2 linked regions of the Drosophila melanogaster genome follow. The protein of the gene in region 1 interacts with the protein of each later gene in a pairwise test. Each region holds a gene or a part of one and is shown on either strand. Other genes may lie near its edges.

What was found. The genes of interacting proteins can lie anywhere in the genome.
Region 2: the proteins of CG14540 (region 1) and Tbcc interact in a two-hybrid assay, tested with the Drosophila melanogaster proteins (one large-scale study listed by BioGRID).

Annotation. Positions count from the first base shown.
Region 1 is NT_033777.3:25,955,948-25,964,532, reverse strand, and holds CG14540 (uncharacterized protein), read right to left. Parts: upstream 5,255-8,585; 5' UTR 5,058-5,254; coding exon 4,119-5,057; intron 4,062-4,118; coding exon 3,938-4,061; intron 3,871-3,937; coding exon 3,092-3,870; 3' UTR 2,847-3,091; downstream 1-2,846. Other genes in the region: boss (bride of sevenless), read right to left, coding at 1-84, 144-614, 918-969.
Region 2 is NT_033779.5:4,183,880-4,191,854, forward strand, and holds Tbcc (Tubulin-binding cofactor C), read right to left. Parts: upstream 3,915-7,975; 5' UTR 3,688-3,914; intron 3,621-3,687; 5' UTR 3,605-3,620; coding exon 2,537-3,604; 3' UTR 2,371-2,536; downstream 1-2,370. Other genes in the region: lectin-24Db, read left to right, coding at 4,269-5,348; Naprt (nicotinate phosphoribosyltransferase), read right to left, coding at 6,063-6,140, 6,204-6,613, 6,680-6,945.

The DNA of each region.
Region 1 (8,585 bases):
TCGTGCACTGCTGCAGAAACTGAACTTCTTGAATAAGCAAGTTCTCTGCCAAGCTGGCGTTGTCGATGCTGATGGCGCGAATTCCTGGAATTCAATAAGAAGGATTTGATTTAGGTGCATATAAATAGCGGAATTTTACAAACCAATTTCAAAGTCTGCCATTATAAGATTCGCCTGGTTCACACGATTGATTACGAACAACGCGGAGTCGGGGTCCTTGGTCAAGACACTGAGCACCACATCTCCTTCGAGTATCTTGACAAACTCCTCCTGCTTCCGTATAACCGTTCCCTCATCCGCACTATTGACCGTCAACTGCAGACCATTGAGACATATTTCCGGCACTAAGCTGGCAGTTGTTCCACTGCTGGGTCCCTCGGTTGTGGATGAGATGAGCGGGGCCAGCTGACCATCGACGGAGCTGGAGACTTCATCATCGGTGGTTGATGCCACCGTTGTTGGGGCCCTTGTGGTAATACTGATGGGCTTGGCCTGCTGACTTGTGGGCTGTGGTTTGGTTATTCGAAGGGGAGCGGACTTCTTGGTGGGTGATGTCAGGTCAGCTCCATGGCACTCCAAGACGCAGAACACAGTGACTAGGATGCATAGAAGAGCTGCAGAGGACAACAATGAATTAAATCTTATTCGTATAAGATGGAAAATATCGTCGTCCTTAAATTTAAAGTAACTTTGTTCTGGTTAGCATGGTTGATTGACTAGTTAATTGATTGAATTACTCAATAAAGGAATTCACTTAAACCATATTTGCAATGGAATTTTCTACACAAACTCAAGCTTGAATGGCATTTTGAGAAAAATACAGGTCTTGAAATATTCCCGGAAAAAGAAATCCCCTCAAGTTGCCATTCATTCCATTGCACTTCACTTCTGCCTTACGACATTTACTCAGCACTCACCCACTGGTAATGGCTTTCTCCGTCCAGATTGCAAAGCGTCCATGACCTTCATTTCTAAAGTTTTAAAGGTTTTACAATTAAATACAAAAAATGTCCGTTGATAATTAAGCAATGCAGCAGTCTTTCCTTCAACATGTACTGATAATTGATATCATTTTATTTTTATTTTGATAGCTAGAAGGAAGAAAGAAAATGGTAAGTTGGATATTAGCCAGTGTGCAGAATTGTATTTTTTATTTTTTGCCGGCCACTTCAACCATTTTGCCGACTGCGTGGAGAGTGCTGCACTTTAATCGCATTAAAAATTGTCACACTAACACAGACTTTGTTGGCTTGGCATAGTTTCCACTTTTCCATGTCTGTTTCTTCGTGATTTTGCCCACTATCAGTGCAAAGTAATACGGTGGAAAAAATTTCTGTTTCGCATATTCTCTCACTTCGGGAAAATCAATAGAGGTTTTTTGTGGAAGCCGAATTCTGGAATTTATGGCACTGCACACACTTATTGCACAGATTCACGCACTAGACCCACTGACAGTCAGAGCCACAATAGTTTTGGGCAACAGCAATTGGCAAAAAAAAAAAACAAAGAAAAAACAACAAGGGAACACAAATTGAACGCCTCAGTGATTTTAGGGTCAATTAAACGTTTCTCGTTTTATATTTGTCCAGTGATGTACGCAGCACTCAAACCGTACATATATATTTATTGTTGGCCCACGAACAACCAATTTGATTTGGTAAGCCCCTGTGTTAACGGGTGCAGCATTGCAGTTGCCCGCACAATGCAATTATGTTCTATTCGATTTTTTTTTTGTCTCTATTTCAGTTTATTTTATTTTAGTTTTTCCGTTTTCGAACCCACCCCCTGGAAAACCGAAGGCGGAACACTGATGTGGCAATGTTTTGCACCTGTTTTGGCCGTTTTGTTTTGACTAACTTGGCTGAGGCCCGGCACTCGCTGGTTGTTATGGTTATTGGCTCAAACAGTCACTCACGAAATTGAGTGCTTTCCACGTCGAGTGTACAATTTCCCATAATTATACAAATAAATATGTACACCCCGAAGCCAGTTCAAATATTGGTCATTGCAATTAGCCAACTTGCTGGGCAAAAGGGTTTCGGGTTTCAGGGTGGAATAGGGTGGCCTGTCAAAGGTGCCGATCAGTAATTGCAATTTGGCCAGTCTTACAGTTCGGCACTTGTGGATAGCTTGCACAATGTTTGCTATCCTCGTTGGTTTATCAAAATGTTTTATTTTATTTTATGGCTATCCAATGCAAACTGTTCAGTGGAATATCCTTGAAAACAGAACCGACACTCGTGCCTTGGGCTTTGACATTCGTATGGCACTTTTCCGGGTTTTGGGGCTTTGCATAACACTTTTAATTCACGTCAAACGCAACATCAGTTGAAAAGTAAGCATTTTCATTTGGCCACGTTGCATAAGTTTAATTTAGAGCTCAATTCCTTTAGGGGGTTTAACTTTAATTGCCCAAAAAGCAACTATATGGCCTTATTAAGCTGTTTGGCTTTTTATTTAAATACTCATTTTACTTTGAATAGACGCACCAATATCTTACCGACGGACCACGTCCACGTTTAAACTGTTTTGGCCAACTGAACTAGCGGAAGAACTTGCAGAGCCGCGACACTCGTAAGCCCATAAAAATGCAGCTGCAGGTTAGGGCTAGTGGGGGTGGTCTTAGGCCTTATTTTCCACTCGACTCAGTTTTACCCGGTTGCCGGATGGGGGTGATGCCTTGTTTTGGCCAGCTCAGTTGATTCTTGCTTTGCAGTCAATATAATATGCACTTATTAGTGACACCAATGGGCATTACTCAGCGAGAATCGGGATTGCCAAGGGCCAAATAGGTCAGTTTTATGCTCAATGTAAGCTGTTCACATAACATAAATAAGAATATGAAAGCCAGTTTTAAATTTTGAACATAGTTTAATTGTGATCCTAAAAATGAATTAAATGAATACATGTACGCCAGGTACGATAAGTTATAGTTAATTTGTCGAAACATTTGATCCAATTTTTTTTGGCTTTACATTATCAGAAATAATTTAGGTCATGCCAAAAGTAATATTTAAATAAGTATTAAGGCGATTTCTAGGAATGGGTTCCCCTTCAGTTTGAATGCTCCTTTATCTTCACTCCAGTGGCTTTACTGACCATCTCCGGCGCCTTGGTTGGCTCCCCTTCGATTTAATTTGCGGTTGGGCCGGCTCGTAGTTGCTCCACTTGGATACTTGAGGCCACAGTCATCGTCCTCGCTGCCGGTCGAGATGTCCGAGGAGAGCTGGAAGTCATCCACTTCGGTGTAGGTCTCATCCGTACTATCGTTGGGCGTTTCGATCTCCGTGTCGTCAACCTTTTTATTTTTCTGACTACCTGCGAGGGTCCTAGAGCTCATGGCTGCTGGCTGACAAAGTCCACCGTTTGAATTTTTCTTGGGTATCAAGATGTCCTCGAGACTGGGCAGTTCAGCCGACATCTGACCATTCATATCCTTCACCTGATTGCAGTAGCGCTGGATATTATCCAGGACTTCTTGCACGCCCACATCAGATGATTTTACAACTAAACTTTGCTCCGATGACGACTTTTGTGCAGCAAGAACTGGCTGCTGAGCTTTGCAGATGCTACGATAGGCACTGGAGTTCATTAGGGACTCGTTATGGTCTTTTTTGGCGCTAATAGGCATTTTGCTTTGATTCCTAATCACTTTTCCTGGTTGTTGTTTTAAACTATGCGACGGTTTCTGTGTCAGATTCTGACTGACTGAGGCCGCTGCTTCTAAGTTCGCCTTCGAAAGACTCAGCATTTCCTGAGTGGGCTTTCCATTCATCAGCGATTGATGCTGGTAAAACATTTTATCGTACTCGGATTTCATGCACAAGTACCGAAAGTGTCGCGAATTTTCCTCACCGAAGTAAATTACCTCTGCAGATGCCAAAAAATAGTTACATATTATAAATACCAAATAAACACTGAAAGTAAATAAACTCACTGCTAATGACTTGTTCCTGCAGCTTATCCAGGTTATCGTTTGTCTGCTTCAACTCGCCCGAGAACCTTTCGATTTTGTGGCTCAGATCGCGAAAGTTCTTTGCCAGAGCATCGGATATGGTGTTCTAAAGAAAGTGCATAGTGTATTAACTAATCAACTAAGGAACTTATGCGAAACTCACGCCAACGGCCGTTTTGACAGTCTGGCGGATCAGGTCAAAGAACTCCTCAGGATCTTCCTCCTTATCTTCATCGTCATCGGCGGTACTCACGTGCACCTTGCTCGCCGGAACAGGCTGTCGCCCACGCATCTGCTTCTGATGCGGATGCGGATGCTGATGCTGATGCTGATGCGGTTGCGAATGCTGGAGGCGCTGCTGTTGCTGATGCTTGAGGTGGTTGTGAGTAGTCATCTGCTGCTGCTGGTGCAGCTGGTGTTGCGGCGGATGCTGCATTGCTCCGGATTGCAACTGCATTTGCATTTGATGGGCATGAGAGTGCGGATTGTGCCGGCGCATATTTCCCATGTTTCCCTGCTGGGGCACCATTAGTTCCTTATCGGAGTAGTCGTCGTTGTCATCCATTGGATAGTCGTTCCTCTGGGTATTGCCCTTTTCGCGGTGCTTCATTCGGTATGTCTCCTTCGACTTGGACATGCCATAGCCATTAGGGTTTACCGTGCCTTCGGCCGGGCTAAAATGCGGCACCTTGTTCATCGGCGCCTGACGAGCACTGGCCTTATTGGCCATTTGGTTTCGCCTCGAGGGCATGGCGTTATATGGAGATGGCTGGACATGGCCGGGAATCATTTGCGATATTGATGGCTGCGCCATCGAACCGGGGGCATTTCGCAGATTGGCCGCCGTCAACGGCAGATTGGTGGTGATGTAGTAATCATTTTCGGTGACAAAACTGCGCTGAGTGCGAGCATCGACTTGTCGGGAGCTAATGGTTCCTCCACCGCCAGTTGCACCGCCTGGACCCGATCTCTCAGCCCTTGCTGTTTTCTTGGTCACACCTGCATGGGATATCGCTACCGACTTTACCGGATGCAAGGAATCCATTTTGGAACCATAGACCTCCTCGATTCCCTTGCGACGAATTGGGCGCACCATCTTCATCCAAAGGCTCTTTACTCACCGAAACAAACTTTCGTTGGCCTCGAGTTGCACCAATAAACGCAAAAGCACAATAATGTATAAACTGTATTTGATATATTTTACATCTATTTATGTTCTTTGGATGATTTAGCTAAAATGAATGAGGGATATAGAAAGATAGTGAATGTTATAACACCAGCCTACTGGATAGATAGATTGGATAAATATTACTCGTGTGAATAAACTGAAACATTAACGACATACATTTTCGTCGCATTTCGCATTTATCAAAATAATCAGAAATAATCGTTATTATGGTTATTTGTCAAATTTTGATTCACTTCCTTATACGAAGAGTATGAGTTGTACAATATATACATATTTACCACGGAATGATAGATCTCTGCACCTAAATCGCATTCATATTGATTACTCACTCCAGCGCTTCGTTTCTACCAAATTTATTTTCACACCTCAAACACCTCTTCATTATTCAAACCACAGGTGGTGAGGGAGTTTTCCCGTAAATTTGTTTACCTTTTGCCGCTCAACTAACCGCAAATGGCAATGACACAGAGCAAAGGTTCAATGTTTGCCCGCTTTGCCGGAAATATTTCTTCGGTTCGACGCCAAATCAAATGCTAATGAGCTGCATCTGATTGTGAGTGCGAAAGTGGTTTTGGATACCACTTGCTGTTCGCTTGGAAGTGGTTCATCGTTCAAGAAATTATTACAAATATTTATCCGATTATTTACCTTTGAACCTCCTCGGGCTGCCGTGTATCCAAGGCGAATGATTCGAATGCGTGGCATGGCCACGCTGGAGGAATCCTTAAGTAGGCAACTAGCTTTAAGGTCATGTCTGGACTGCTGAAAATAGACCGCTTAGCCTCAGGTTACAGACACTTAAGACATAAAGGGAATGCAAAGCGAAAGGGATTTAGAAAGGCGCTCAATAAAGTGCTGAAGGACCCTTAAAAATTGGGTCATCTGTCTGTGGGGACGGTGCCTTGAAACGGAAAACCCATGATGCCCATGCCAACTCCTTGTCTCATGTCCTCATTATGCAAATTGCGCATACGACGCGTGTGCTGCTGCCCACTGCAGGAGGCCTTCTCCCCTTTCCGCAAGCAAATCATTTTGTTGACAATCTGTTGCATGCGAATGCTATTAGGAACGAGATGATATCTGTGGGAATAATTTTCATTTAATGTACACCCTTTTCATTTTCTCTTCCCCTAAACGACCCCAAGAACAGCTCATTTAATTCGTTTTGTGTGTACCCTAGTCATAAATATAAATGAACCATGAACGGCCGACAACAGTTGACTATAATTTAAGATCCTGGCCTGCAGTTGAGCCTTGAATTTCCATCCTCTGCATGTGTGCGCATAAATATTGCAACATTCGAGGAAGCAACAAAGGTCAGACAGGCTTTATTTGTTGCAAATGCGCAGAGAAGCTGCCATTAAGCCTTTGAGTCCCATCTGAATGACGTTCATGTTGACATTGTCATGGTGATACAAAAAATAATCACCATTATTAGTTGTTCCGGCCAAACTGACTTGATTGGCCACTGATTCTATGCCATAGACTGTTTGGACTGATTATCAGCAAAATGCCAACTGACTTACAGAGCAAAACGTGAGCCATTCCAAAATTAATATAAGTCATTAGCATTATGCGGAACGATAAATTTTAATGGGACTCGGCATTAGAATTGCTTAAGGCGGAGATATTTCCAAGAAATTTATCACCCAAAAAAGTCGCCCCGCGGCGCAGATAAATCATCCAAATGGTGACCACAAATTGTACAGCTTTCGTAAGGCACATGAAATACGAAATGTTTGCACTGGCACTTCTTTATTTTTAATTGCAGGCCCAGTCAATTAAAAGGCAAGTGAGTGTTGCAGCATTTCTCTCACGCATAAATTTGTCCCCTGTCAACAAGATCCTCAAGACTTTTCATGATTTTCCGAATACTTTGCCACTGCCCACCCATAAAACGTCACTTGCACGATTTAAGGTATCTATTTTTGGTTTGATGGCAAAACATTTAATGAGAATTTCTAAACAGAGCACTTTTCTTGTTAAATTTAATCAGTAATGATTAAACTGAGAACCATTTCTTCTTAAACGAAGGGAAAAAATTGTAAAAAAAATTAATTAATTGAGGCAGACAACAAGTAAAAAGAGAATTAACCAAAAAAATATGTGTATCCATAAAGAGCATTCAGCTATCGAATAGCTAGTGATTGTTCATCTTTCCCGATTGTATTTATATTAAAAAGTACATATATTAATACGGCCGGAGAGTAAATAATTGTACGCCTATTTATTTGCTTAATTTAAGAGCTATTTATTGCTGTTTATTTATTTATAAGTATCCCCGCTGACAGACGAACATGACGAGCGAGAATTTCCTCCTGTTCTCAGTCTTTCTGGGCCGTGTGCTTTATGACAAAATGTTCACAATAAATAAATGCTACAACGAAATAAATTGCCGCTACAGATATCATACAAATAAATTTGCTTATTTATGCGATGCTGCCAAAGTTTCCAACAAATTTTTGCGATTCGAATCGAGTGGCTCATTGGCGTTCTCATAAATGCAGCTGCTGTCGCTTTGTTTTGTTTCGGCTTTTAATAAAAAATTACCGACTCGACTTTGATTGTTGATGATTGTTTTCTGAATTTTGATGGCTTTTTGTCACGAATTCAGAACGCAGCATTTCTTTATGTTGCCCATTTTTTATACGCACTGAAGATCAGTGGGGTACGTGTTTCCTTTTTTTTTCTGTATTTTGCCTGTTCGCAGAAAACTGAATGAACTGAAAATACAATTTTTTGTGGTATTTGGGTCAGCAGATTTTTTTTTTTTTTTTTTGCCTCACTTCACTGGGATCAATTAAAGTCATAAACAATTCGATGCATTTTACAGTAGAGTGCAATGCTTTCAATAGGTATGTTTCTTAACTGAGCGATGCAATTAAAAGTAATATGTTTGTGTCTTGTTTTGCATAGGTATAACTGGTATCCAGCTTATCAGCGCGTTTGATAAGAAAGCTCGCAACCTGCAAAATGTTGCTCAACAATAAGCTTTTGTAAGCCGGCAGCAACATAAACAAAGAACAGCTGGTTTAGCCGGCTAACTGAGAATGAAAATGTGGGGTGAAATCAGGCAGGTCACTTGTCGTGTGCCTTCGTGTTGCCATCGTCGGCGCAGCAGCAACAGCGGCAGCAGCAACACTAGCCGCAGCAACAGCAGCAACATCAGAAGCCGCAGCAGCAGCAGCAGCCCAAACAGGAAAATCCGCACGACGATGCCACACACAGAAATTCAGTTCAATGCGAAATTTTGTTTGAACCAGACGCGAAATCTGTTAACGCCGCGTGGCAAAAATCGCGTTGGCGAGTGCGTAAAAATTGTCAACAACGACAGGAGCTCAAAATAAAACATTAATTAAAAATTAGTGAACTGTTTTAAAATATTAAAAAAAAAAAATATATTCTAAAAAATTATATGAAAAATATACAAAATCAAAAACA
Region 2 (7,975 bases), on another chromosome or scaffold:
GTGTTTTGTGATTGTGTTAACTTATACATGGCGTATGAGTGATATTTGGCTGAATTGATCAATCGCTGTTATTCCTACCTAGAAATCACACTTTGGGCCAACACATTAAGGCCGCTTAACTAAATGCGTAAATTAGCATCGTTGGCCACATCAGCTGAGCCATAAAATCCGCACACAAAGGCATTTGCGGATTGCATGTGGGTCACCGTGGGCATAGAGCGAAGGAGCCAGGACGAAGGTAGCGCGGCTCGGTGATTTTGCAGTAATTGAAACCATCAAAGTGTGAGAGAGTCAGGCAATTACAGGCACTGCGATAATATTAATGTGGGGGCGGTCACCGTTGTTGGGTCCTCGGTCTTATCGCAAATGCGGCGAATATTATCTGCGATAATGAGAAAACTAATTGTGAGCTATGCAAATGTGGCACCACCAGATGCACCTGTCCGTATTGTGAGCACACATGCATACTGTATGTGTGTATGTGTGTGTGTGTGTGTGTGTGTGCGGCCGGAATTACCAACACAGTTCAAGTGTGAAAGCAATTAGATTTGATAGTGTATCGGCTTCATTTAAATAAACGGATATTGCAGTCGCTGGCAATCGCCAAAGACGATAAGATAGAAGAAATAATCAGAATCTTCAAGTTTGAAAGACACATTAAAATATTTTATATTTTTAATATAATATATGTTTAGTTTAAGAAGTGATCCTATTTCCCATAGCCTGCCAACATAAAACGCACCATTTGATATTCAAACGTTATTATGTTGAAAATGAAACTAAACCTTGGTAAGACTCGAGTGGAAATTACAGGTGAATAGCAGGTGAGTGCGAATCATGTGCACTTGACATGAACTGACAGCAAATTGATGCAATTTCGTCACATTATCGACAATTCATTTGCAATTAGATTGGAACAATTTCTGTTTGTGTATTGCTTATGGTATTGAAATGGTAAATAAGTTGTTAAAATGTATTGGAAATAATAGATACAGTACATAACATTTCAATACGGGTACATACCTCTTAATCCTTTCATTCGGAATTTTAAAATGATTTATCCATGCCACTTTAAATTATATTTGTATTTTATATCACCACACCATTTAAATTTGATTAAACTTATATCACTCCAATATCACTACACTTAAAAAAATAAATAAAAAAAGCAAAGCAAAAGTCGTTGCTATATTATACACCGTAATTATGTGATTTGTGTATTTATATACTCATTTTCCTTACATTTATTTACTTGTAGCTTACTTGTAGTAAGCTCCCAATATGCACTATTCCTCATCGTGAATTCACATTGAATGAAAGCGAAGTTTAATGAGATATTGAAGATCAACCAAGAGATAAGCCGAAAATCTGCGCACTTTCGCGTTTTTCTTTACTTCACTTGCTGATCTTCCGTTGTTTCGCACTCTGGTATTTGTGCATCTGTTATTCTCCTTGCTTCACACCGTTTTTGTCACTATCCTCAATTGTGACAGCTCATTACCTGCTCTCAATTTGGCTCTCCCCCCTTCCCCCTTCCAATCTAACAGCATCACCGTTACTTGTGTAACTCGCAGTTCAATTACCTCGCTAATACGAGTTGTCTCTTCCGATGATTCCTCCGCCTTCATGAGCTATAGCCACATACATACATATATACCACACATGTACTTATTTGCGGAGATGCATCCCCTTCTTCACCGCTTGTAACTCGAATTCGTTAATTATTTTGACAGTCGGCCATGTTGACAGCCGCAAAAGTCAACGGGATGAGAGAAATGGTGAGTGAATGGGGGAAGAGTAAAATAGCTTAACAGTTAAGAGATGACGAAGAACAGATACTCTAACTTAAAATTGCGTATAAGTTTTGAAGTTGACAGTTCGAAAAAACTAAAATAAACAAAAATAAATTATTAATATCAATTTAGTTTTGCATCAAATCAGAAAACGCAATGAAAAGCATATGTACATACGAATTTGCTTTTCTAAAGTATTTCTTTACTTTTGCATTTTCAGAACAAACCTGATGTGTAAGTGGAGTGACCCGATCAATGTGCAGGCAATGGCTTGAGAGGTTCTGTTGTGGCCACATGAAACTTGCATGAGGCGCCGTCTTCCGCCCATTCCGGAATGTGTGTGGCAGCCACAGCCATTTTGGCCAACCACTGATTATGCCACATCCGAATTGGACATGTCAAATTAGCCACGACATAAACAAGAACAGATACATATGTACATACGCATGTACATATGTACATATGTTATCGAAGAAGTCAAACTTTAACTCACCCACTCCAAAATGATTACTGCTGAGATACTGAAAAAAATTTTGACAATGATTTGGAGTCCCTTAATATACAAGAGACTATTTTTGTTTTTTACATAATGGTTATTTAATCAACACGCTTATAGCTAATTACACAGATCGAGGATTAGATTTTGGGCCTGTAACTGAGGGCCGCAGCAGCATTTCCCAGAGCAGCCAACCGAGGATGATGCCGTAGGCTAGCCAACCGAGGAGCAGCCGCCGATGCCGCCACTAAATGATGGATATGTCCTTGACATCCTGCTTAAGTTCGCTGTTATGGTTATTGGCAATAAAGTCGCGCCTTAAGGCGTTCCAATTCGGATCGGGATAATCCTTGAGGAGGCTCCAGTTCGGCGAGGGGACATCCGGCGAAAGCCAGTTAAAATCGGCCACATCCGTATAGTTGTTCTGTGCCTTATTCAGTCCAGAAGCTAGGTAGTCGGCCTCCAGTTTGGAATAATCGTAGTTGTACTCTCCGATCTCAATACTCTTGCAATCCTCGATTATTGCGCGGCAGGTGACATGCATGTATATGCGAATGGACCGGGAGGAGTGCAACCTCAACTGCTGGCAGGCAATGGAGAGGGTGCAATCCTCGAGATTCTCGGCGAAGAAGGAGCGTGCGATGGGGCCGCATAGCAGCGTGCATTTGGAGGCCCTGGAAACCTGCACAGAACCGGGATGACCCTGCAGTTCAACCAAACAGTGGTTCAGTTTCGATATTGTGATGTCCTGGCCATTGACTTTAGCGGAATCCAGGACTATATGCTCGTTCGTTCGATTGGCAATCGTCCACGTGAAATTGGAGCCTAGTTTTTCTGGGACTTTACTGAGTTTCGCGTCGACTATATCCTTATTTGGAGGGACTTTTGGCTTTGTGACGGTCTTTTTGCCACTGAAACCAAACTTTTTCTTGGGCAACAGGCGCTGGCGGGTTTCATCACTGACGGCGGTCAGGGTGTTAAGGATATTCTGACAGGATTTGATCTTGAAGTCGGGCAGAAACATGGTGGATGCGGTGAGATATCGCTGCAGATCCTGGATCTCCACAGTTATGTCGGCGAAGTTTCTGGCCAAATCGGTTGGCTGGCCATCGCCGCACTGCACATCCTTTAATCGCTGCTCTATATCCATGGTTTTTTGGCTGAAAGTCTGGTAGAAGTAGTCAACGCCCTCGTTCTGCACTGTTTCCTTGGAACGCAGCTCCGATTTCACATCCAAATAGTTTTGCCTGTCCTTGTTTCTTTTGTTCAAACGCTCGAGGATTTGATCCTTGCGATTTTCCGCGTCGCCTTCCATGATTTTCGGTATCAATCTATAACGAAATATCTGGTTAAAAATCAATTTCTAGGGCATAACTTCTATTTGGCCGTATGAATCACAGTTGTTGTTGTTTTTCTTGCCAAGTTGCGCAGCTGCAGAGAAATGCATGGAAAACGCGGCTTTCTTACTGGGCACGTATCATATGCGCAGTGATTGTAGTTCAAATTAAGAGAAATTATATTATTTTTATTCTGTTTATTAACCTTTTGTTTAATTTTCTTATTATTTTGTGCAGCTGCTCACAATAACAAATGTTGCCTAATCGTTGTGAGTGTCAACAGTTATGTACTAAAAAAGACCAAACAACATTACCGTTTAATGCGCACGGTGAATGGCAACGGCGGCAAGAAGAAGAATACGCGCCAGGGAAATTTTAGATTTGAATTTTTTATAGGAGAAATGCGATAATATTAATTATGAACTCTTGTAAGCAGCGTAAGAAACTTAATACAATCAAACATCTCGCCGAACACAAAGCACATTGAATGTCGCCCACAGAAGCGATAAATTCTTGATAAATGCAAAAACGGAATTAAATTTAAATTATGGGTCTTATCTTTTTTGCTCTGTAGAACCTTTTACATAAAATGCGGATCAGTACGTTTTATTTCTGCGCTTGCAGTGGTTGTGCGATATCAAAATGTTTAGGCTTGAAAAATGTATTGTGTACTTACTTGTTGCCTGCAATCTGGTTGAATCACGAGCGGAATCCACAGAAAATTCCCGATCCGTGTGCCTTCTGAAAGATCCGCCAAATCAGTGCGGAGAATTCTGCCTTTCGGTGCTCCAACCGCTATTGGATCACATTGTAAAGCACCAGGAGCAATGGAACACCTCCGAGGCCCTCTGGCTGAACGAAACCCAGGGCAAATTGGACAGGATACAGACCCAGCTGGCGGCACAAGCGCTATCCTTGGAGGAATCAGCGCAGAAGGTTCCAGGAGACATCAAGGATAGACTGGACCGAATGGAACATCTTCAGACGACACTGCAGGAGTCTCTAAAGAAAATGCCAGCTGAACTCGATGCGAGGCTAATGAAAATGGAAAATCAGCAAAAGACATTGGGCGACCAGTTGGAAAATCAAATCAATCTCACCAAGGAATCTCAGCAGGATCAGTTGGAAGCCCTAAAGAACGCCATGCCGATAAATTTCGAAATGCGGCTGGCTCAGATTGAAGAACAGCAGAAGTTACTTCAGGAAACTCTAAAGAAGATCCCAGAGGATTTTGAACGGAAATTGCAAAAGTTGGAGCAGAATCAGAAGGATGAGCTGACCAAGCTGGGAGCTCAGCAGTCCGCCAACCAAGTCACACTCAAGGAAATTTATACCAAGGTCTTCTGGCCGAAATTTGAGCGAATCGGCTCTAGACTCTTCTACATAAATCACAAGGATGCCTACGACTGGCAATCCGCTGTAGACTTCTGTCGTGACATGGGTGGCTATATAGCCGCCATCAAGGATCAAGAGGAGCTGGACGCCATTTCAGCGAGACTGGACGACAAGAGCTACTGGCTGGGCATAAACGACTTGCAAAGCAGTAACACCTACGTATCCGTGGCATCCGGCAGGGAAGTTGAATTCCTCAATTGGAATGCGGGCGAACCCAATCACGGCAATGAAGATGAGAACTGTGTGGAGCTGATTAGGAGCAAAATGAACGATGATCCGTGCCACAGAAAGAAGCATGTTATTTGTCAAACCGACAAAGAAGTTTAAATGAAAACACTGTCTTTGCATATTCGAAATAAATAAAAGATACAGATACTAAAAACTATTCCCAAACTGTCGTAGAAAGTTGATTTCTCTTTGCGGCGCTCTTTTACCTTTTAGTTAAATACATAATCGCAGTATGTATGTAGTTATATATAGATAGAGTAGTTATAGTTGTGTGCTTGATGTGTTGTGCCCTACTGCGTGCAAATGTCCTAAAAAGCATTTGTACTTCTAACATTCATCCTTCGTTCGCAACATTTCAACACTTAAGTACTAGAAAAATATTAAAGACATATTTATTCCGTTCCGATATTTGGTTGTAACTTAGTAACTCGATTTGGGTTCGTGATTCCTGTGCATCCTGATTCTAATTCCGCTTCCGCTTCTCGTTTAAGGCACATTACACATTCCTGAATATGATGTGCGTTTTACATAGTAGTAGTAGTAGTAGTAGTAAATATTAGATAAACACGTTAAAACTATTGATTTGAAATTCACTCGCTAAATTGCGTGGGAGTTTGTGCTTCATAGTCAGCGGGAAATCCTCGTGTGACGGAACGAGTTCCAGCTCTACAATGCATATGACCAGCAATTGACTAAAAAAAAAACTAATCCACCACGACCCCAAAATCGAGGCCAACAAATATTGAAAACCAAAGGTAAGTAAATTTCTCGGAAATGTTTTAGCGCATCCTTGCCAGATCCTCCTTATATAGATCATGATAGCTCGCCAATTGGTGCATTCTGAAGCCACAGATCGTGAATGAAGTTGTAGAGATTATCGCTGACAGCCACCTGAAAAAAAGTGAGACATTGGTTAGACCCTTTTCGTAAGCCAAATCAAATGATTACACCCACCTTGTAGGGCGTCGGGTTGAGCGTGCGCTTGTGATCGTTGCGCAACGTTTTCAGCGAGATTTGCACCTTCTCGCGTACCTGCTCCAACGTGGGCAGCTGCTGGCAAATCTTGCCCGACTTCCAATACACCTTGTAGAGCGACTCCACGTGCGAGGGTATCACGTAGGCACGCTTCGACTCCTGGAACGGATGCCGGCACAGTACCTTCTGTCCCACCGCTGGCGGCGGCTCCGATACCTTCTGCAGCAGATCGATGAGCGCGTGACCATCGGCGCTATACAGCCGATAGGCATTCTTGTTGCCCGGCATCGTCACCTTCTCCACGTCCTGGCTCAGTTTGATACGCGGCTGGCCGTTGATCTCAACGAGCTTGTACACACAACCCAGCGCCGGCTGTCGTTGGCAGGTAACTGCAAAATACACAATATTTACAACACATTCAAGATTTCAAATGTACATAAGTACAGCAAACTCACCCAAATGCGTGCCAATGCCAAAGCAATCGATCTTGTGCCCCTGTTCGTTGAGACTCAGAATGGTGTCCTCATTGATGTCGTTGGACGCCACAATGGTCAGCTTGTTGAACCACGGCACCTTGAATCGCTCCGCCACCTTCTCGAACGTTTCGCGTGCCAGGCAGGAAAGATAGGCCAGATCCCCGGAGTCGATTCGAATTCCAAGCGCATGGTAGCCCAGATCGTTGAGGGCCAAGGCCACAGCGCTGAAATTCAGCAAGCCACTCCTGTGGAGAAGAAATCACAAGCATGTGTTTAGAAGTCGCATCTATGGATTCCAACAAGTGCTGCTTGGTTTTTGGTTTTCAATTCAACGTTAAACTCATTTTACTCATTTTGCTATACAATATTTTAAATTTGGTTTTTGGTCACTAGTTTGAAAGCGAGAATTACGCAAATTCAAATGTTTCGAAAGTGAGGTGGAGCTATAAAACGTGTTTCAGAACTCAAATTGGTTCTCTTCGATTTGCAGGTGCGGCTCTTTGTGTTCGAAATTTGAAGCCTGGGAAAATGCCATAATTTTCTCATAAGGGGAGCAGCAGCACAAAAAAGTCGAAGTTATTCGGTTTTGTTTTTCAAGCCATGCAGTGTGCTCTCTCGGACGCTTTTCTTAACTATGTACAGGTCATAAAACCAACGAAAAAAGAAAAAACATTTTTGAAGTTCTCTTTGTTGGTCGTAAATAAAATGTTTCGAAAAATATATGTATGTAACAATACAAAACTGGGGCACAGAAAACAAGAAAATTTAAGTTTAATTTCCTAAAACCAAAATGTTTTCGAACTGAAGACGAGGACAATAAGAACGGGGTTTAGTCTATGACAGCATTAGGGTGAATCAGTGCGTGATTTCGTAGGTTTCTTTTTCATTTATGTGCTTAAAACAATGCAGAAATAAAGCGAACAAGTTTACTTTTTTACGTTTTGTTCAACAAAACTGTTTAGCTTTGTTAATAAACTATTTGGTTATGATCAAGGTTCAGTAGAAAATTGTTTTAATTGCACTTCTCTTGATTGTTTTATGCACCTGGTTATGTGTTTGTGAGCTTAAGGATCGTATATCATTATGCATGAACTTTGGTTTCGTTTGTCGTATTTTTTGCTTTTGAGTAGGTGAATTGTATGCCATATGATATTTTCTCATGTTTTTGTTGGTTGAAGACGTGTGTTTTACATACCTCTGCCAAAATAGTGCCGGAAGTCATTTGTTTACTATGTTAGGTTCGTAAATTCTTTTCATTTGCTTTCGATATTTTAT